Struthio camelus: one gene and its partner. The protein of the gene in region 2 purifies or fractionates together with the protein of the main gene of each other region. This does not show direct contact. Links are inferred from orthologs where the notes say so. Each region holds a gene or a part of one and is shown on either strand. Other genes may lie near its edges.

The links.
Region 1: the proteins of RELB (region 2) and NFKBIE purify together in Homo sapiens (affinity purification with mass spectrometry; 3 studies listed by BioGRID and IntAct, counting the BioPlex papers as one, with this or other methods). This does not show direct contact. The link is inferred for Struthio camelus from reciprocal best matches to the Homo sapiens genes RELB and NFKBIE.

The regions. Positions count from the first base shown.
Region 1 is NC_090944.1:104,509,557-104,520,528, forward strand, and holds the start of NFKBIE (NF-kappa-B inhibitor epsilon), read right to left. Parts: upstream 5,731-10,972; 5' UTR 5,606-5,730; coding exon 5,253-5,605; intron 1-5,252. UniProt on the Homo sapiens protein: Sequesters NF-kappa-B transcription factor complexes in the cytoplasm, thereby inhibiting their activity. Sequestered complexes include NFKB1-RELA (p50-p65) and NFKB1-REL (p50-c-Rel) complexes.
Region 2 is NC_090957.1:1,341,671-1,352,938, forward strand, and holds the start of RELB (transcription factor RelB), read right to left. Parts: upstream 4,860-11,268; 5' UTR 4,785-4,859; coding exon 4,769-4,784; intron 3,770-4,768; coding exon 3,716-3,769; intron 3,548-3,715; coding exon 3,539-3,547; intron 3,053-3,538; coding exon 2,562-3,052; intron 1,964-2,561; coding exon 1,806-1,963; intron 1,297-1,805; coding exon 1,205-1,296; intron 1,117-1,204; coding exon 985-1,116; intron 532-984; coding exon 427-531; intron 1-426. Other genes in the region: putative lipid scramblase CLPTM1, read left to right, coding at 5,816-5,884, 5,977-6,095.

The DNA of each region.
Region 1 (10,972 bases), on a different chromosome or scaffold from region 2:
GGGACAGACTTGAACTCCCTCGGCACGTGAAAGGGATAAGGAGCTTTCCAAAGCCCCTAAGAAAAAAACAAGAGCAGCAAAACAAGGGTTTCCAAATCTGTCCGAGCCACGTTCCATCAACCTCATTTGCACTGAGCAGCTCTCCGGAGATCAGTTACTCATAGAAAAAGGTCCTGCCTAACATAAAGAAAGCAGAACCTGGCCCACAGAGGGGAGAGACCACGCTGGGTCCCATGAGGGCCATTCCCTGAGATAAGGGCTTCCTTGTCCGCATGCCTGCTCACATCTGGCACGAAGTCTGTGCCTCTGAAATGGCACCACTGGTATCCTGTATGACCAGTCCAGAGTATATGGGGCAGCAGGGGGAACGTGAAGCCAGCCGAGCGCCCAGGCATTGGCACACGTGACCCGCAGCCTCTGATACAGAGGCACCTCCTCAAAGCATGAGGCAATCACACAGCACATCTGACAGAAGGGCCACGTGCCTATTAATCAAAGGCAAAGCGGAGAGACTCAGCCTGTGAGAATGCAGGCCGTTAGGCATGGAAAGGCCCTATGAGACCATCCAGTTCCACTGCAGGATGCCAGTCCCCAGTTCCCATTAACTATGGCCATCCCACTGCTGGGCAGCCAGCAACAAGCCAGCATAGCTCAGCAGAGGGACTCCCAGCCCTACTAGAAACAAGGAGGTATGCTCTCTGCGCTGGACTTCTTTAATCCTTCCCCTAAAACTGTGTCCCTCCAGTCCTCTGCTCTTTTCTTTGACAGTAGTTTCTCTTCTCTGCTCTCACAAGTTGAGTCTTCCCCCAAGCCTGCAACCCCTGCTGCAAGCGTGCACGCTGGGATCCAGATGGTTCAGAGCATTCAGCAACACCTGTATTCAGCAGAGCAGCCCCTGAGCAAGCAGGAACACAGGAGCAGACAGTCTGAATGGGGCTCTGATCTCTAGAGCAGGGCCACACGAGATGGGACAGTTAAGGCTGGCACATGCTGGTCAGTTGTTAAAAGGGGCTCTTGGCCCTACAAGATGAGGCTTGATACTTGATAGCTGCCCAAGTAGGCAAGGGCTCAGTGGGAAAGATCCCCTTCACTACCACAGCTGCCACGTACCATCACTTGGAGGAAAGCCCAGAACACCAGCTCTTGCGGGGACCCAAATTTACTTAATTAACTCTCCCCGAACCCTTGTTAATGCATTTCAGCACACAAGTCACCAGCACGTGATTTCTTATCAGCAGACACGGCAGCACTTGTCTCTAGTGGAAGGAGGAAGTCAGGCTTCCTCTGCCACCCTCCTTCTCTGAGACACTACCCACCCCCTACACACACGCGCCTGACCAAAACTGCTCTGTCCCATTTTCCATCTGAAGGACGATGAGATCTTTCTTCTCTGATTTGAGCTGGGGACCCCTGACCTTCACCTCCACAGAGAAGCCATGCTGCTTTGCCTAGAGAGCTCCGTGCAGAAAACCACCACCCTTTTGCAGAGGCATAGCACCAAGCCTTGCGCAGCACATCGCGGCCGACTGGCTCAGAGCAAGACTATGTGTGCTGACATGCCTTGTCTACACCGTGCCTAGCTGCCCGCTGCCGGGGAGCCCATCACCGTGGCATCAGGTACTGATGACAAACTGGCGCGTGGCCCAAGGACCAAGACGGCAAGAAAGGGAAACATGTTTAAGACAGAACATATAGTTCTAGAGAGAGGAAGCTCAACCTAATTTCCCACACTGATAAATCAGCTCTGTCTCTCTAGAGCTGCCAGAGGCTGCCAGAAGCCCTAGCAAACGGAGAGGTTTTCCCTAGTGTTGGAATGCAACGGACAATGCTGTCACATCCCATCCCGCCCTGCAGGAGCTGGTCCCACACCCACCCCTTTCCCAGGACACCGCAGCTCTCGTGCCTGGCGAGGCCAGCAACAAGGGGGTTTCCTCGGTGACTCCTAACAAAGGTTGAGTTTGTTTGGAGGCCAGGGCACAACCATAACAAACTGCAGCCTGCCCAGAGTTAGCCATTCCTGCAGCTGGAAAGCCCCTCTCTTCACTTCCATGCAAAGCAATCCCATTGGGATTCAATTCAGCAGAAAAGGAGCTGCTTCAAAAGGAAGAGATGGATGCTTGGAGGAGAGAGCTTGAGCTTGAGGGCAAGGGAGCAGCCTTCTGGCAGGGCTTGCTCTCTACCCTGCCATGGAATAACCAGGGTATTGCTGCCCTAAGTGCATCCGCCATCCTCTGCCTGTCGCTTCGGGTTTCCTCCCATTCCTTGACCTCTCCTGCTATTGCAGCTCTGCTGATCCTGCTCCAAGGCTGATGTGCCATTGCCCAATTACTACAGCTCTGACTTCCTCAAGGCAGGGACTACCAGTTGCGCAGGGAAAGGGTGGTTGGGTTTGAGGTTTTAGCAAATGATTATTGGAAGACGTCTGCTCAGACAGAGGTACCCACACATTTCACTGGCCATTACACCCACGTCTCCTGTGTTAGCTAATTTCCTTCCTACATAACCAGGCCCCTCTAATTTTGAAGGAGGGGACAGTCTGTTTTAGCCCCATTGCTTCACCCTGCCTCGATGAATGTACTTCTGCGGAGGTGGCAGGAAGTAATCCAAGGAAGATCCTGCTGAGACTTTAACTATCTGAGCACTTGCTTCTCCCCTCTGCAGTCACCCTGTATACTTCTGCCATACGGGCCACACTGAGAAACACACCTCAAGGGGGCGCAGGTAGGCAAGCCTGGGGAAGCTGTGCAGGTTGGAAGGGTAGGGCAGACGGGCAGCCAATACTTTCATCCGCTCCTTTTGTGCGAGTGTTGCTCCTCCGGGTACCAGCAGGGACAGCTGGGGAAACAGGAACTATTTGACTAAAGCCCTGAACTTTTTGTATTTTCAGAATTACAATGATTACAAGGAAGTGTTATCGCCCAAGTCTGCTGAAAAAATAATGATACTATGATTCTAAGTCTTGTCTTGGATCTGTCTTGTGGCAGATGTTCAAGCAAGATACACAAGATAAAGCGCAGCTGACCAAGATGAAAAGAAGTTGTCAGGTCCGCCTTGCTAGATGAAAAGGAAGCGGCCTATGGCCATCTGATCCCTTTTCTCTGGACCCCCAATCACTTGATGAGTGATTTTTCCTCAGACTTTAGCATTGCTATTAACCACAGTCTGTTTTTGCATAGAAAAGTAGTGGCAGTTCAGGGAGATGTTGGACGCTCACAGTCCTACTTGCATCGAGTGGAGCGGCAGACATTCAGCATTTCTAAATATAAATGCCACCTACCTCTCCCACAGGGTCAGGAGACAAGTCAGGAATAGAAGAGGCAGAAGTCCACAACCTCACCACTCTGACCACAAGAATATGTTCTTTTCCCAGCACTGGGAGCAGATCTCAGGAAAGCAGACTCCCTGCACTGACCTCCCTAGCCCCAAGTTGTACAAAATGCACTAAGAGCAGACTTTTCACTCCCTCCTTCGCTCTTTACCGATTTCCTGTTCTAAACTGTGCTGGGCATGAAAGAAAACAGAAGAGCAACTGCAACCACTTGGAAAGCTCTCTGAAAGCCTCTCCTGCCTAGAGTAACTAAGGCAGCGCCAATTAATGTTTCCCTAGTTAATTAGACGCTTGCGTGATGTTCTGGCCAAGCAAGTCTGACAAGCAATGGGTTCAGCCACCTTGCGAGACAGACTCAAACAGGAAAAGCATCTCCAGACAGCTGCATCTACTGGGCTCACTAGAGACTGGTGAGCCTTGGCACAGCACAACATAACGGGACCGAGGGGGCTTTCCTGCAGCATTACTTCCACCGGTCTGATTAAGACCTGTGGTTCTCTCTGTGGGCACATTGGCTCTGGAGTTACAGCTGTGTAAGCTGGCGAATTTTCCCACGCGGAGGAGCTGCAAAGCCAGCAGATAGATAGGACAGCAGTAGGAAGCTATCCAAGCGCCCCACCGGGGAGCGTGGGAAGCTGCGTTTAGTCTAACTTTGCTTGCTGTGAGGCTTCCAACCAATCTTCCGAGCGGATCCCACAGTGAACATTAATGAACTAATTAGCAGATGTACAGGTTCCTCGCTAACCAGGAAGTAAACACTTGGGCTTGCTCCCATCTCATCTTCAGCCTCAGAGACAAATGTGCTCTGAGGTGAGGACAGAGTCTCCTCGCAGCTCCTGTTTAAGCCTACTGCGTGGACACTACTAATTCATCTGTCTTGCTGGTGTTAGTGCCTCTTAGTTTCTCTTCCTCTTGCACCATTACTCAGTATTCAACTCTGGCCTGGGTTTGGGTCAAAGCTTTGCGTTTCTCAGCTGCAAGCGCGCTTCACTCATACTCTGCCCTCATTTATGATGAAAATCTTCCGTTGAGGGAACATACAACAGGAAAGAGACATGATTAGCTGAATGCAGTTACCAGAAGCCAACCCAGATACCTCCAATATGATGTCTCTGCCCTCAAGAGGGCATTACGAACGTGGGAAGCCCCCCTCATCAACAGAAACAGGTTCTCTCCATCACAGAGACTCAGAAGGGCTTCCCCTCGGCAGAGCGTGGGCCACAAATTTGCAGAGAGCTGTCCCTCAGCTGGTGGGTAGGCAAAGCAAGATGATTTTGACCAGAGAACAAGTAGTTCACAGGTTGCTCAGCTGAGCAGCATCTGTGGGAGGCCCACCAGGTCTTGCCCTGCATAGCTGATCTTGTTTTGGGTCTTGCTCACATGCCGTCTCATACAGAGAAGCCAGGTCCATTGGTGATGAAGTTTTGCATCCTCCAGGGAAGGGGGGGCAGGGTGATTTGCTCTCACACCACCATCCAGCTGCTAGTGGCCCCATAGCAAGTGGAAATTGGTTTCCTGCAGTGGGTCCATTCTGTGCCATGCTCAGAGGAGCAGGGTTGCCTATCCCTGCTTGCCCTGCCAGACCTGCCTTGGATCACTTGTTGGTTACCCACCCAAATCTACGTCATGGAGCCAAGCATCTGTGCGTGAGCTGCAACTGGAGGCTCTAGGACAGGGGATCAGGGAGTCTTCCACAAACTGACCGGCTGGCTGTTCCTCGGGAGAAACTAGCGGCTGGGGGCCACTACAGATAAAGACCTCCTTATCTCTGCGGCACCGGCTCCCAGCTAGCAGCCGAGGGGGCCAAGCCCGGGCTGGCGGGGGATGGAGGGGCAGGAGAGCAGCGGTGCAGAGGCACCTGCGGGGGCAGAGCGCGGCTCCCCGCGGCAGGGAGGGCAGGGCAGGGTGCCCGGGGCTCACTCACGTGTCTCCGTCCTCCGAAATGTAGGTGAGCGCCTCCAGCTGCTGCTGGCTGAGCCCCTCCGGCGACGGCGACGGCGGCTCCGGCTCGGCGTGGCAGACGGCCGGCAGCCCGGGCAGCGGCTCGGGGAGGGCGCCGGAGCCGTAGCTGGAGTCCAGGCGCTCCTCGGTGGCGGCGGCCGGGGTCTCGGCGGCGGCGGCCGGGGTCTCGGCGGCGGCCGGGGTCTCGGCGGCGCCAGCGCCCTCCCGCCCGCCCGGCAGCGAGCGCAGCGACTCGATGCCCGAGTCGCACTGCCCCTCCTCGCCCTCCCAGCCCGCCGCCTCCTTGCGGCACTCGCCGCCCGCTGCCCGCGACATCCCGCAGCGCTTCAGCACCCGCCGCCGCCCCCCAGCCCTAGCCCTAGCCCTAGCCCCAGCCCCGGCGCCGGGGGGCTCATGGCCGGAAAGCCGGCGGGCCGCGGCCGGCGCAGAGGCTAAGGCGCCGCGGCTCCTCCTCCTCCTGCCCGCACTGACTCAGCCGCGCCCGGCCCCGCCTGCCCGGGATTCCCCCCGCCGCCGGGCAGCGGCTCCGCGCCCGGCCTCGCGCCGCCTCCCCGCAGCGCGGCCCCGCGCCCGGCCTCGCGCCGCCTCCCCGCAGCGCGGCCCCGCGCCCGGCCTCGCGCCGCCTCCCCGCAGCGCGGCCCCGGCCCCGGCCCCGGCCCTGGCCTCGCGGCTCGCCCCTGGCCCGCCCGCGGGGCCCGACGCCGGGCTTTGGCACCGCGCGTGGATACAACACCCCGGGTCGCCCGCCCTGCTCCCACGAGCCGTCCCCTGAACGGAGGGCTGTTTTCCTGCGTTCCCCGAGGGGTTCAGGAGCGAGGGAGGAAGCAAAGCCACAGGTGGGCACGCGTGTGCGTGCAAGGGCCAGGCAGCCTGGGGTGCGCAGGGGACGTTGCGTACACAGGACAGCATGTGCTGATGTGTCCTGGACCTGCCTCCTCCCTTGGTGTATTTGTTTTGGTTCTTTAAATAACTGGCAGGTTTGCCCGAGGTGGGAGAGGGACCTTGTCGAACCAGGTTGTGTGGGTGAGGATGCTGTTACATGCACAAGTGCTGACTACAGCCTCAGGCTTTGTGGGAAACGATATGGTAGATGTCACTTACTGGTAGTGGAGATAGGTGTGAACGAGAGGTATGCTTTTCCCATGTGCATGGTTTAACTCATCTCACCCACTGAGACACCGTCTTGCCTATTCTGCCTGTACAGGTGAAGGGAAAAGCCAGGATACAAGTCACTCTGTCCTGAGCTGCTTCACACCATACTTCTGCGTTACTAATAGCAAGCCTAAAGCACAGAGTGGGTGCAAGGGCTCACACAAGGCATCCAGTACATGAAGATCAAAGCAGAATATAAAAGCTAAAAACAAAGGCACAGATCTTTGCCTGAGAACTATTGAGCCAGCTGCATTTCAGTGCTCTGCTTCCCAAGATCAAAGCTACCCAGCTTATGGACCTGCGTAGCCTTTATCTAGCTACTTTCTAACGTCCCAAGAAATGAGTTTTCCTCAGAAAAGAATCTAGATAGCTCTGAATGCTGATGTGACTTCTTTAAAATCAGTTTCACTTGTTACTTCTGCTGCTTGAAGTTCACCTCCCTCTCTGCAAGGTGGCCAGCTTTCCTGTAGGAGAGGAAGGATCTGTCCGTGCCACACACCTGCAGAGGAGCTCACCTGGGAAGAGCTTGGTGGTGGATGCAGGGACAAAGCTCACACAAACCACATGCAAAGCACAAATGACTTCCCCCTCCTATGTTGCAGCTGCCACTTCAGGTTTGCGTCACTCTCCTAGCACTGCCCAGCCAGGCCTTAAACCACAGCCTTGCTGCATGCAAGCTAATCAAGAAAAGCACCTCCACACAGGCAGAAGGAGATGTTTGGGGGCATAAGGGCAGAGGGAGCACAGCCGGAGGCAGGCAGAGGAAGTCTCTGTGGGCATCAGTAACTTCCAGTCACACGTTTTCCTACTCTCAGGACCTGCTTCAATTTCTCCTTGTGTTTCTGGCACTGCCTGGATGGAGGACTGCACGCGCTATGGGAAAGGAGGTTCTCCCTGTGCCTCATCCCCTCTGTTCAATGCAGAGCAATTATCCCCGTTATATAGCCATGCATACCCTCACTCCTTGGCAGCGGCTGCCTCCCGGCTTAGGGTGCAGGATGCATCTGCAGCTGACGTTCCTGATCCCCTTGCATGCAAGGCTGATAACCTGTAGGGCCCAACACTGGGCAGAATCTTACTGGGACTGTCTTGGATCTTGGGTGTTCACTAATTGTTACCATCACAGTTGATCCCAATTGCAGCACAGAAACTGTGGAGTTAGACAGTCATCTCAGTGTCTGTAAGCCGTATGCCAAACCTTTACTTCTGCTCCAGTGCAGGCTGCTATCAGATCCACAGAGTAAAGCCCAAAGGTTACCCCTTTCTTCCTACTCACCCAGAATTTCTACTTCCAGCTTTATGAACCCAGCTGCTATTGGAGTACCATAAAATACCTTCCCACGTACCTCTGCCATTTTCTCTAGTACCCTATTGAAGCCCCATCACAGACTGATTTCTTAAAGTCTTTTGCAAGGATGAAATCAGGTATTTGGTGAAATCCACATTGGTGAGATCAGTACTTTCCAAATGTCCTGCAGAGTGGTGACTGCTGCTACAGAACAGGAATGTGATCTCCCCAATGGACAGGTATCCTCCCTTTATATACCAAAGCATCCCTGCCTTGCCCTATCAGTAACCAGGAACCTGTGTACTGATCCACAAAGGATTCATTTTTCTGTGAACTACTTGCTGCTTGGCTTTGCCCCAGTGACAGTCGCCCCTCAGTTATCTCGTGATGCCCTGTCCCAGTTGTGGCATAGGTGTGGAGACTGCTTCCACTGCTTCCACTGCTTTAGGGCTACCAAGATGATTAGAGGGCTGGAGCATCTCTCCTATGAAGAAAGACTGCAAGAGCTGGGCCTGTTCAGCCTGGAGAAGAGAAGATTGAGAGGGGATCTCATCAACGTGTACAAGTATCTGAAGGGGGAGTGTCAAGAGGATGAGGCCAGCCTCTTCTCCGTGGTGCCCAGCAACAGGACAAGAGGCAATGGGCAGAAACTGAACCACAGGAAGTTCCATCTGAATCTGAGAAAAAACTTCTTCACTGTGAGGGTGACAGAGCATTGGAACAGGTTGCCCAGAGAGGTGGTGGAGTCTCCTTCGCTGGAGATATTCAAAAGCCGTCTGGACGTGATCCTGGGCAATATGCTCTAGGTGACCCTGCTTGAGCAGGGAGGTTGGACTAGATGATCTCCAGAGGTCCCTTCCAACCTAAACGATTCTGTGATTCTGTGATTCCAGGGCTAGCACAGGTTGAGGGGCAATTCAGCCAAAGCACAGAGCCTGAGCTAATAAGCCCTGGAGAGCTGAGCCAGCTCTGCGGAGATGCAGCTCAAGGCCCTTGACCCTGGGGTCCTCGTACAAAAAAACTGCTATGTTTCCTGTGCAGTTAAGATAGATCCATCATATGTTCATTCACGTGGACTTGGTACACCTCCTGCCAGTTGCAGGCTGGCTTTATGAAGCATCACTCCGTCACCTTCCCATGCTACAGGTTCTGGCAGGGCTTCTCAGCCTCAGCACAGTGCAAGGGAAATGTACGCAGTCAGCTCATCTCACCTGGGAAGTGGAAACGCTGGAAGCTGCGGTATGCAGACACCACTTGTGACTCCACAGTCCAGTCCACAGCAAACTGTACTACGTTATCTGTCTACAAAACTGCCCCTGAAAGTGACCTTCCTCTGCTGCTGATGTGAACTTAGCTGGAGCTAGTGATGTCACGGCCTCCCTAACGTGAGCCTTGAACTTTCTAGAGCAGGCTAGTGCTCTCCCAGGCCTGTCTTGCAGTGGTCTACTGTGGTGGTGTGTGCTGAACAGCAGAGACCAGATATTTCCCTATAAAAGCCAGCTATACAACCCAGGCATCCAGGTCCAACCACTCTGTGCTCTGGCCTTCTCACTACCTCCACTAATACCCAGCTCAGTCACCAGCTTCTTGCCACCTCTCTTCCAGGTGCATGTGCTTCTGCTGTCCCTTTGGATAATTTGCATGGAAAATCTCAGACATGAACTTTGCTTGTCAGTCTATCTCCTTATTTGCCTTCTGTCTTTCATTCAGCAAGGCTTCGGCTCCATTTCATGATCTCTGCCTAACAGAGAAGTTTTCTGTCTAGCCACACTGCTTTTGAATTTCCAGTCTCTTCACGGCTTTCAATCCAGACTGTGGTATATACTTTCTGGGGAGGTGGTGGTGGCAGGAGTAAGCACATTTAAATACAATATGTGGCTAGTCTTCATGCTCTGATTTGCTTTTGAGGATTTAAAAAATGAAGCCCTAATTCTACCCTCTCTCCAGTTCTCTTTAAAATGTATCACTTAGAATGGTTAAAATTGCAGGGATAAATAGAGAAAGGAATCTATTCCCACTAGAGGTCAGCGTCAACACACGCCACTCAAAACTACCTGCCTAAAATAACCTCTCCAACAGACACCAACAAGAAATCCAGCTCAGAAAGGCGCTCCCACCACACTGCACTTCCAGGAGCTTGGGGACAGTGTTTGTCCGTGGAAAGGACTCCCCAGGTGATCTGCAAATGCCGGTACTGTCCCTGATAATGTGCTGCCCTGAAGTACGGCCCTTTAATTTCCTAAGCGAAACTCAGATCTCTGCACTTGACTTCTTGAACCCAAGCTCTGCCTACTTCAATGGCAGCTTGAGCCTGGTGCCTTCCTCTTTTCCACTGTTCCTCAAGCTGTTAACTGGGTGAGATAATGAGATGAGTCTGGGACACTTGCAGAAGGGGAGATTATGCACAGTCTGTGTCTGGTCTGAGGAACAGCAGAGGTACCTTAACTCCCAGCTGTGTTCCCCCACCATGTTTAAGCAGTGTCTGTACCTGAAATCATTATAAACAGTTATTGCAATAGTAATTCAGGTGATATGACCAGAGTTAGATGGTATGTATTTGAATTTGAACAGATGGAACATTTGGGATCGTTGCAGGGTTCGATCAGGGGTTACTTCAGTAACCATCAGTATTTTAATAACCATAAAACAAACTCACAGCATCTACACTACAAATGTCACCACCAACAGTGCAGCTCTCTGGAGTCCAGCAGGCCCCCCCCTCCCCCCAGGGATGACAAGGCAAGTTCAAACTGTTTTTTGGCTGGTTCTGGCTGTTTTCTCATTCATCATTGAGGTTAGGCTAAGATCATCTTATATGATCAACTATTAATCTAAGATTCAGGTGCTCTTTCCTATGACACTTTAACAACTTCTTTTTGGCCCTCCACAGCTCTATCCTGATGTTAGGGAAGATTCTTCAACGTGAGACATTTTGGCCTTTGTGAATGAGGGATCAGTCTGCTTCCACTTCTTTTTACGTCTCACTTCCTCACAGGATTGGCCCAGGACTGCGTGGTTTACTGAATAAGGCAGGGCTCCAAATGCTGTCTCCTTGGGGTACCAGAAAAGCACTGTGACAGCTGCTGAGCCTCTTTCAGAGCGCAAAACTTGCTTGACCTAACTGCAGCGATGCTACTGCTGCCTCTGTTACCTCAGCACCCATGTGGATTTTCCCCCATGCAAAATGTCCACCACACAGCTTTAGACCTACTCCACAACAGGGCTGCCCTGTTCCCTAGGGA
Region 2 (11,268 bases):
AAGGTCACCCTCTCCAGCCCCCAGCGGTTCCTACCCCCCTCCAGCACCCTGAGGTCCCATCCCCTGCACCTGCAAGGCAGCAGGACCCCCGGGCCCCTCGCCAGCACCCAGGATCCCTCCCCTATCATTAGCCGGGGTCCTCTCATCTACACTCCTGTAGCACCCCAGGGTCCTTTCCCCTGCAGGATGACTAGGGGGCAGCCAGACTCCCCCATGATCCCTCCCCTCCGACACCCAGGCTGTTCAGAAGCACTTGGGGGTGATCACAGCTCGCATCTCCAGACTCCTTTTGGACCCATCCCCAAACCCCTCAAGCGCACCAGCCCCCTCCAGCCTCTGTCACCTTCCTTCACCCCCACTCTCACTTCCTGGGGTGGTAGATTGGCGCCCCCAGGGTCACAAGGCTCCCAAAGCGCCCGCTGGTACCTTTCTGGACTTTGTCGCAAAGCAGGTAGAGCTCCTCGCCACCCGTGCACGGCCCGCTCTCCTTGTTCATCCGGCAGATCCTCAGCTCCGAGGTGTTGGTGGATTCTGGGGGCACCAGAGCACAGCTCAGGGGTGCTCAGGTGCCGTGCATGGACAGGGGTCCACAGCTGCCCTGCGGGGTCCTGTGGTGCAGCAACAGCAATGTGGCTCCAAAATCACCCAGCCCTGGGGCCAGGCTTGGGCAGCAAGACCAGGCTCAGGGTACAGGGACTCTCATTAGCATCATCTCTTCCCAAGCACCCCTAGCACTAGGTACCAACCCTGCAGAACACGGGTGACCAGATCCCCTGTGTGTGGGGGACCAGCTTCCCCTCAGGACACCACCAGTCACAGGGGACCATCTCCGACCAAACCTCGCAGCCCCGGCCCTGGCAAGGAACCGGCTGGTGCAATCTCATGGGCCACCCTGCCCCATGGCCACCCGCTGAAGCCAGGGAGGTACCAGGGGCCTGGCTGAGCCCCCCGCCAGTGACCCAAAGCCTCTCTTCCTCCACATACTCTTGTCAAAGATGGGCTCCGAGAGCACAGGGCTGAGGTGCTGCATCTGCCCAGCGCTGTCCTGGTAGGAGGCCTGGAAGCAGATCCTCACCACGTTCATGTCTACCTCCTGGTGGTTCTTGAGGGACCCAGCTGGGGCAGAGAAGAAGGCAAAAATCAGCTGCTGCCCAGGAGCGGGGGTCCCAGGCCCCCAAGAAATGCTTCTGCTCAAGCCACTCACCTTTGAAGGGGTCGATGCCCAGCTGCAGCTTCTTCTCTATCGCCATCTCGATCTCCTTTTTTTTCACACACTGGATACCAAGGTTGCTAAAGCTGCCGGGGGAGCAGAGGCGTGCTGGAGAGGCAGCTCCCCCCTGCAGAACCTGAGGGCACCCAGGCACCTTGCTCCTCTCAGCTTTGTCTCAGGGGGCTGGGCAGTTCCCCAGCGTGTCCGTTCCCAGAAGACAAGGCCCTGCACGGACCACCGTGGCTCCATCATCTCCAAAACAGGCATCGCTTGCACCCAGGGACGGCAGTTAAACGACCACCGAGGAACACATCGGTGCCTGGGCGCCCCCAAAGCCACGGGCAGACAACAGGGCACAGCTCGACCTCCAGTACGCTCCAACCTCCAGGCATCCCACCCCCCTGCTCCACCTCCGAGACCCCACGTCCCTCCTAGGGAATGCAGACAACTAGTCGTCACCAGCTTCAGCACAGCACCTCTGCGAATTGACGCCAGGGTCCTGGGGTGGGTGGGGGATATCTCTGCTCCCCGCACCAGCCTGGCACAGCTCCCTGCAGGCCACAGGACTCATCCCAGTGTCACAGCGCAGCCGTACCTGTGCTTGGGGTTGGTCTGGGGTTTGAGGACGACCTCGCAGAGCCCGTTGCTGCAGTCCTTGCCCACGAGGCCATGGGGGTGGACGCGGTAGGGCCAGTCCTTCCACACCAGGCATGCCGTCACCTTCACCTCAGGGATCGCGTGGCAGTTCAGCAGCTGGTGGGACACGAGCTGTGGGCGCTGCACCGGCTAAACCGACGCGGGGGGGGGGGGGGCACCAGGAATACGGGCATCCCAGCATCCGTGGGGCTCCGGCACCTTCTGCGATCTCAGCACCACCCCCAGCACCCATGGGGCTCCAGCTCCGTGATAATCACAAGGCTTCAGCACCCCTGCGGGGGGCTCTAGCACCCTCCCCAGCACCCAACTACCCCAGGGAGACATGAGCTGTCAGCACATCCCTGCTACTCTGACACAGGAGACCCTCTGAGCAGGGACGGGCACCCAGAGACATGGAGGGGCACTAAGCACCTAAGGGACTCCAGCAGCCCTCTGGCACCCATGGGGCTCTGAGTCCCTGGCAGCCATGGGGCAATAGCATCAGTGGAGCTTCAGCACCTCCCCAGCACCCACCTGGCTCTGGCACTGATGGGGATTCCACACCCCATGGCACCCACAGGGCTTCAACGCTCCCCCAGCACCCATGAGGCTCCAGACATCCCAGGACTCTGGCCCCCAGCACCCGTAGGACCTCACGGTCCCCACCTCCGAGCAAGCAGGGAGCCACGCGCCCCAGGCTGCCTCCGAAGCTCACCTCAATAGCCGGCAGGGTCTTACTGGCATCAGTGCTGCTCTCGCCCAGGATGCTGCCGGCCGAGCGGCCCTCGCACTCGTAGCGGAAACGCATGCCCCGCTGCTTGGGCTGCTCCGTGATCACCAGCTTGGGCGGCTCCAGCAGCTCCTCCAGCTGGTCCTTGCCCAGAGACCAGCGGTGCCGCCCGCCGGGGCCCGCCGTGCCCCGCGGCACCAGCTTGGGCGACAGCGAGAGGGTGCTGAGGTTCTGGGCGAGCTGCGGCGAACGCGTGTCGGCGGGCAGCAGCGGGGCCCCAGGGCCGTGCGGGGTCCCATAGGGTGCCAGCCCGGCCGTCGCCGGGCAGGGCTCAACGGGGCGCAGCGGCCGGGTGGCCACCGTCGGGCTGGAGCCACGGGCCACCAGCTTGGCCGAGCTTTTGGACAACAGCTTGGGCAAGGCGGGGGCCGGATCTGGCTGGAAACCGTCCTCCTTGATGAGCTCCTCAATGATCTCTGAGGGACGAGGAGGGAATAACGTGCCCGAGCCCGCCACAAATCCCTCAATACCCAGCCCCGACAACTCCCATCCGCCACATGATGGACGGACTGGCCAGATCCTGCCCCGTTGCCACCCACAAACATCTCCTCCGCCACGCTTGGGACAGAGCGGCCACAGCTAGGGGACAAGATGCCCCAACCCTCCTGCCCGTCGCATCCCCGTGGGTGTTACTCAGTCTTTTCCCCTCGATCCCCTCGATCCTTGACGCTCCGGGACGGCGGCCGCGGGGGCAGCTCGCTCGACCGGACACAGCTCTGCACCCTGAACTCCTGCTCGTGGTGCCCCGGAAAAGGATGGATCCAGCTGCTTCAGGTGCACGCAGGGACCCCCTTGTCGGAGATCTCCGGTTTTACCACCCGAAGCTCCGAGATGCTGCTCTGGCCGAGGTCCTGCCAACACACGGGGCTGCGCCTACCGACCCCCCTCCACGGTCCACTCACCTAAATCGTCTGCAAAAAGGAAGGGGAAAAAAAGAAAAAGAAAAAATTGAGGCTTCCTCCCGCACCCCCCTGCCCCAACTCGCACCCAAGGAGGCACGGCTCTCCCCCGCCAAGCCCGGACGCCTGGGCCCCGCCACCCCGAGCACCACAGGGAGGGGGAATGGGGGGGGTTCTTACCAGCCACAGGTGCGGCGTGCGCCATGGCCAAGCTGGGATCCTGGAGGGCAGCTCCTGCGGGGACACCGGCGCTGTCACCCCAGGGTGCACCCTCTCAGCCCCACCTAACGGCACAGGGGACCTCGGCCTCCTGCCAGCCAAGGGCAGGGACTTGGGGAGGGGCACCTCTGGGATCAGGACCCCCCCCCCCGACAGGACCAGGGGGGTCTCAAGGGTGACAGCTCCCCCCAGGGTGGGGAATGGGGGTACCCCCAAAAAAACCCCAGTGCAGGCATTGGGGGGGGTCCCCAGAACTGTGCCCCCCAGTAAGGATTTATTCCCCCCAAAACCTCCCATGACAGGGATTTGGGGTGGAAGGGATCCCAATATCGTGTCCCCCCCCCCAGCAAGGAGGGATCTGTTTCCCCCCCCCCAAGAGCAGGGATCAGGGGTTCCCCAGGACTGTGCCCCCCACTAAGTGCTCTGCCCTCCCCCTCAAATCTCCCAGGACATGGACTGGGGGGTCCCCAAGATCATGTCTCCCCTCCCATTATGGATCTGCCTCCCCCAAGCCCAGCAATCAGGAAGTCCCCAGGACTGTGCCCCTCCCCGAGCACTCTGCACCCCCCCAAATCTCCCACAACAGAGACTGGGGGGGGGGGAACGTCACCCCCCTCCAACAGGGATTTGCTCCCCCCAAAATCTCTCCAGACAGGAACTTCGGGGGGGGGGGGGAGGTCCCAGGATCACATCCTCCCCCAGCAAGCACCCGAATCCCCCCCCCCATCACAAGGACCGGGGGGGGGGGTCCCCAGAACCCTGCCCCCCCCGCCAAACCCCTAGTACAGGCACCGGGAGAAGGGGGGGGGCCGAGATCACACCCCACCCCACCGCCAGCAGGGACCTGCCTCCCCCCAAAACGGGGACCGGGGAGGGTCCCCCAGGACCGTACCCCCCCCCTCCTCCAACAAAAGGCAACCGACCCCCCCCCTCCCCCAACCCGGCCAGGCCCCGGGCCCGCCCCCAGCAGCGGGCCCTGCCCCCCGCGGCAGGCAGCGGGGGCCCCGCGCTCACCGAGCGGCAAGGCCATATCCCGCCGGTAGTGGTGGTGGTGCCGCCCCCGCCGCCGCCGCCGCCGCCGCCCCCCCGGCCGCCGCCGCCGTCGCCGCCGCCGCCGCCGCCGCAGGCCGAGGCCGCGCGGCCGCCGGAGCTGGAAATCCCCGCGCGGGCGGCGCCGCCATTGGCTGCCCCCGCTGAGGTCATCGCCGCGGGGCGGGCCGGGAAACCCCGCGCGGGCGGCGCCGCCATTGGCTGCGCCCGCTGAGGTCATCGCCGCGGGGCGGGCCGGGAAACCCCGCGCGGGCGGCGCCTCCACCGGCAGCGGAGCGGGTCGGGCCTGGCCACGGGGGCAGCGGGAGCCCTGCCCGGGCCTGGCAGCATATGGGGGCACCGGCCCAGGCCGCCGGGAGCCATCCCGGTTACCTCCCGGTTACCCCCGGGAGCTCCCCGGTCACCCCCCTGCAGACCCCTGCCCGGGCCCTCGGCAGCCTCCCGGTTACCTCCCGGTTACCCCTTCTAGGGCCCCCGGGAGCCTCCCGGTCACCCCCCTGCAGACCCCTGCCCGGGCCCCCCGGCAGCCTCTCGGTGACCGTCTGCGGGACCCCTACCGGGATCCCCTGGCAGCCTCCCGGCAGCCTCCCGGTTACCCCTTCTAGGGCCCCCGGGAGCCTCCCGGTCACCCCCCTGCAGACCCCTGCCCGGGCCCCCGGCAGCCTCCCGGTGACCGTCTGCGGGACCCCTACCGGGATCCCCCGGCAGCCTCCCGGGAACCTCTTCCAGCACCCTCCGAGTCACCGCCCCGAGAACCGTGCCGACTTCCCTTGGGAGCTTCCCGGTCCGGTCCGCTCACCTCCCCCCCCCCCCGCACGGGACCCCTGAGAAACTCCCGGTAACGTTACCGGCGCCCCGCCCCCAGCTCGTAGCCCCGCCCCCAGCTCGTAGCCCCGCCCCCAGCTCGTAGCCCCGCCCCGGCTCCGCCCGCCGTCACGTGACGCGGCGCCCCGCCAGCTCGCGCCCGCTCGTCCCCTCTCGCGAGAGCCGCGCGAGTAGCGGCGCAGCAAGATGGCGGCGCCGGAGACGGAGGCGGCGGCGGCGGCGGCGGCGGCGGGGCCCGGGCCGGGCCCGGAGCAGGTAGGGGCGGCCCCGGCCGGGTCGGGAGCGGCCCCGGGGGAAGCGGTGGGGCGCGTTTGACGGCCTCGTCCGCCCTCTTTGCTTCCCTTCAGCAGGTGACCAGTAACGGGAGCGCCGGTGGCGGCGGCGGCGAAGCGGCGGCGGCGGCCGAGACGCAGCGGCAGCAGCCGGCGCCCAACGCCTGGCAGGTCATCAAAGGCGTCTTGTTCCGGTGAGCCGCGGGTCCCCGCCCGCAGCCCTGGCACCACCGGCGCCCGGGCCTACCGGGGAGGGGGGGGGCAACAGGACTGGGCCCCCCCCCTCCCCCCGTCGTGCCCCGGGGGTCGGGAGCTGCCCCGCCGTGTCCTTCCCCCCGGGGTCAGCGGGCAACGGGGGTTGTGCCCGCCCCCCCCCCCCGTGGTGTGGCAGGGTGCTGGGGGTCGTGCCCTGTCCCCTCGTGTCCCCCCCCCCCCAGTGGTGTGGCAGGGTGCTGGGGGTCGTGCCCTGTCCCCTCGTGTCCCCCCCCCCCAGTGGTGTGGCAGGGTGCTGGGGGTCGTGCCCTGTCCCCTCGTGTCCCCCCCCCCCAGTGGTGTGGCAGGGTGCTGGGGGTCGTGCCCTGTCCCCTCGTGTCCCCCCCCCCCCAGTGGTGTGGCAGGGTGCTGGGGGTCGTGCCCTGTCCCCTCGTGTCCCCCCCCCCCAGTGGTGTGGCAGGGTGCTGGGGGTCGTGCCCTGTCCCCTCGTGTCCCCCCCCCCCAGTGGTGTGGCAGGGTGCTGGGGGTCGTGCCCTGTCCCCTCGTGTCCCCCCCCCCCAGTGGTGTGGCAGGGTGCTGGGGGTCGTGCCCTGTCCCCTCGTGTCCCCCCCCCCCCCCAGTGGTGTGGCAGGGTGCTGGGGGTCGTGCCCTGTCCCCTCGTGTTCCCCCCCAGTGGTGTGGCAGGGTGCTGGGGGTCGTGCCCTGTCCCCTCGTGACCCCCCCCCCCAGTGGTGTGGCAGGGTGCTGGGGGTCGTGCCCTGTCCCCTCGTGTCCCCCCCCCCCAGTGGTGTGGCAGGGTGCTGGGGGTCGTGCCCTGTCCCCTCGTGTCCCCCCCCCAGTGGTGTGGCAGGGTGCTGGGGGTCGTGCCCTGTCCCCTCGTGTCCCCCCCCCCCAGTGGTGTGGCAGGGTGCTGGGGGTCGTGCCCTGTCCCCTCGTGTCCCCCCCCCCCCAGTGGTGTGGCAGGGTGCTGGGGGTCGTGCCCTGTCCCCTCGTGTCCCCCCCCCCCCCAGTGGTGTGGCAGGGTGCTGGGGGTCGTGCCCTGTCCCCTCGTGTTCCCCCCCAGTGGTGTGGCAGGGTGCTGGGGGTCGTGCCCTGTCCCCTCGTGACCCCCCCCCCCCAGTGGTGTGGCAGGGTGCTGGGGGTCGTGCCCTGTCCCCTCGTGTCCCCCCCCCCCAGTGGTGTGGCAGGGTGCTGGGGGTCGTGCCCTGTCCCACTGTGTCCTTCCCCAGTGTGTGACGGGGCACTGGGGGTTGTGTCCCATCCCGCTGTGTCCCCTGCTCCGCTCTGCCGTTGGGTGCTGGGGTACTTCCTCATCCCGTCACGTCCTGTTGTACGTCTCTCTGGGGATCCCTGAAGGGGAAGGAGTGCATCTCCTCCTCCCTGATACCCCTAGGCTGTGGGGTCCCAGGAGAGGTGCTGCCACCCATCTCCAAAATCCCTCGGACAGCAGGGTTCCTGGTGCAGGGGCACAGCGACCTGGCCCGCTCACATCTGAGTGGACCCTGGGGTCCCTCGTAGATGAGAGGAAGGTACTGAGGATCCCTCAGGTTCCTGGGCTCATGTCAGAGAGGGAGAAAAGCCTGGTAGCTCCCCCCTCCTTTTCCCCGGACGCCAGGGTCCCTGGCAAGCTGCCTCTGATCCAAGCAGCCTTGGCAAGCCCCTGCCAGTGGGGCCTCATGACCGTGAGGGTGGCTCAGGTGTGACGTGTGACCGTCGCTGGCTGGCGAGAGCGCCCCGAGGTGCTGACGCAGGGCCCGTAACCCACGGGGCTACACGCCCGACCGGCGCAGGGCTTTGCCTGAACTCCGGGATCTTGAGCTACTTTGCAGCTTTTATAGCCTCGAGCTGTTCTTCTGTGGCTGAGATAAACGTAGAAGTTCAGAGATTGGTTCATCGCAGGCAGGAGCAGCTGCTTGAACAGGCTGAGTGTGCTTCCTGTTCTCCTCCGAGGAGGCGTCGGTGTCCTCTATGACTTGTCGAGAGGGATCCAAAGTCCAGGTTGTGGCGCAGAGCCCTTCAAATGCTCCTTTGGCTGAGCGGCGGCGCCGCCAAGCAGGCGAAAGGCCCTGCCGTCCATGTCCTAGGGGCGCTGCACTTCCCCGGGGGGTGCCGATGGTCTCGCCTGCTTCAGCTTGGTCTCTGGTGCAAAGCAGATTTCCTCAGGTGGGGAAAGAGGAGCCCGGGGTGTTTCTGGTTGTGGCCAGGTTTGTACAGCTGGAGCAGGCTGTTTTAAAACACCGCGTTGTATGCTCTTGCAGAGATCTTGGGCTGTAGGATGGCTAAGGAAAGTAAAGGAGCTGTGGTTTGGGAGTACTAAACAGGTAGTAGGGGGCAAAATGAAGCCCCAGGAGTAAAACCAGCTGTTAAAAATGCATCTGGATGGTCCCAGGGTGATGCAACAGTTCATGGGACTCATTGCCCTCACAGATTTCTAGCCTGAAGGCCCTAATGAACTTCTGCTTGGGAGAGTTTTCTGGGCTGAACTGAGCTCCCGCATGGGGCTGGAGTGGATGAGCTGCCTCGGACATGTTTGTGACTCAGTTCTCCAACACCTCGGATGCCTTTCTTCAACCCAAACTGCTGGATGGACTTTGGACTGCCTCAGGCAGGGCTTTTTTGACTGACCTCGCCTCCCTGGCAGACTGGCAGCTCCTCTTCAGGGCTCATCCGGAGCCTTGGTGAACCCGTGTGGACCCGTATGGAGAGAAAAGATCACTCAAGGATGGCAGGCTGCTGCTGAGCCACCGTAAAACCCTGCCAACCCTGTCAGCAATGCCCCAGGTAGCGCTGAGCTTTCCCACCTGACGCTGCGATGGCAGAACAGCCCACGCGTCTCGTGTGGGGTTTTGGGGCCCTCCTTTGGCCCTGTGAAGCTGCAACCCAGCCTTCCCTCCGGCTGCAGTTTGGCTTAGAGGCTGATCTCAGCAGCCCAAACCCAGCTGGCCCCATGGGGAGCGGTGGGATCTTGAGGGTGCTCGCAAGACTGTACCTCCATATTTGGCTGCACCGCTCTCTGCATCTCTCCAGTCCCGTGAAAACGAGGAACTCTGTGAGTGTAAGCAGGGACAGCCAGGGTTTGCCTTGTCCCATCTCTTCTCTCAGACTCGGGCACTGCAGGGATGCTTTTCCTAGGATGAAGGCAGATCAGGTGGCTCGGCTGCATCGCTGCCCTCACTGAAGGCTTCTCGGCAGTTCTTGCCATAGTGCCTGCCTCGTGATGCCTGCTGGGAGCCAGCGCTGCGTATTTGGACGCTTACAATCCAAATCTGTGTTCTTATCAGGAGGCAGAGTGGTTCTTCCCAGCCTTGTCCGCGTTGCGGTGAGGAATTCTGGATGCTGGAGCCGACAGACCTGCTGTGGACGTGCTCTTGGGTCTTGGACCTGCTACATCAGGGGCTGATGAAGGGGTTGAGAATCATGAAAGCTGTGACTCCTTTACACTTCCGCTCTTTCACGCGCAAAGTCTCCGTGCGTCCACCCTCGTTCAGTGCACTGCCTTCCCTTGTGCTTCTCTGAAGTGTCCTGAGAAGCTGCGCTTCTCCTGGGAGGGAAGTCGGTCTGTCTTTTTGTTTCTGTCTCACCGAGGGCAGATTTGTTCCTCTCCAAAGTGTCATTTCCCTTGGCGAATCCCTCTGAATGGCTAGAAGAGCTCTCCTGCACAGCAAGCGTGACCCTGTGGCCTGTCTGCTGGCCAGGAAAACCAGAGTCGCGTGGCCAGGAGAGAGCACTAAATCATCTCATCGCGTAGCGATCGCGGCGAACAAAGAGCTTTCGCAGCGGAGGCGCTTGAAGTCGTTCCCTGTGTTGTGGTTGAAGGGCAGAGAAGGGGCTAGGAGGCGCGAGGGAAAAAATCACGCTTGCTGGTAGGTGGAGAGCAGTCCCATCGCCTAACCCGGAGTGGGCTGCTCCGACGGGGAGTGGGTGATGTTTTGCTTTCAGTGTACGAACATCATGCCTCGTGTCTGCTCTGGTTTTTGAAACCCCTGTCTTTTGAAGAAGAAATAGGCTCCCAAACCTTCCCTGTACAACCAGTAATGCTCTAGGTTGTTCTAGAAGATAAACTCTCTATACAGTCATGTTGAGCTGGCTGCAGGCCTTGTTGTGACTGTTTGAGCGGGATACTTTGGCAGTCCCGCGTGGTACGTAGCCGGGAGGGAACAAGACAGTTAACTCTTTGGATCTATTAACCTGGGTGAGTTTGCAGGAGAGCCGGCAGTGTGGACTTGGTGCTGGGCTCTGTGCGTTTCCTCCAGGTCAGCGAGAAGTGTGCAGGGAGACTTGCTTGGTGCATCTTCTCGGCTCTGACAGCTCAGGGCTTTCTGTTTAAACCCTTGCGCTCAGACTTTCTCAAAAGCTCTGACCCAGCGCAACAAGACAGTTTTCACGAGTGAAATCCTGACTGAATTCAGCGCATCTCCAGTCTTCCACCTGAAAACTGGGCTTCCTCGTGGCATGGACATCTAGGAAAGTAACTCTAATGGATTGGAGCCCGTTTCTCTCCGTGAAGTCATTTACTCTGTGCTTCTGGCCATCGTTCAGTCTCGGAGAGGAGTTGTTTGGTTGCCGGCTATTGCTGCCAGTGCTGCCCGCTGTTTCTAGGCATGTAGTAGCTTTGTGCTTAGACCAGGAGAAGGGAGTCTGGTTTAAAATTGCTTGAGGCATGTACACAATACTCCACGAGCGTTAACTGCAAAGAAAAACGTGGCTGAAAATCTTTCCACCTTGAGACGCGCTGCCTTGTGAGCAGGGCTTTGCCAGAAAGAGTCATCCAAAATTTAAAAAAAAAGAGCATTTTTTCATATACTCAAATGTTACTGCCCGGCTTGGCTCACAGAGAGCTGCAGAGGAAGTACAGAAGGGACCTGTCCTGGTCCGTTTGCTGGAAGCAACCCAGGGAGAACCCCTGTGGGGACTGGCGTTTGGAGGGAATTACAGCTGCGGGCTCCAAGCTGGGAAATGTCACAGCTACAGCTGTAGCTTGCATGTTTTCGGGCCAGGAGGAGATGGAAGATCGTCCCTCCGCCCTCCTGCCCAGTATGGGTCCTTATTCAGCTGCCTTGCACTATGCACAGACCCCAAAGTCTGTACTCCAGAAGACAGGCAGCAAATTTACTGTCTCCCTTGGCAGGCTTTGACTGAAGAAGCATCTCTGTT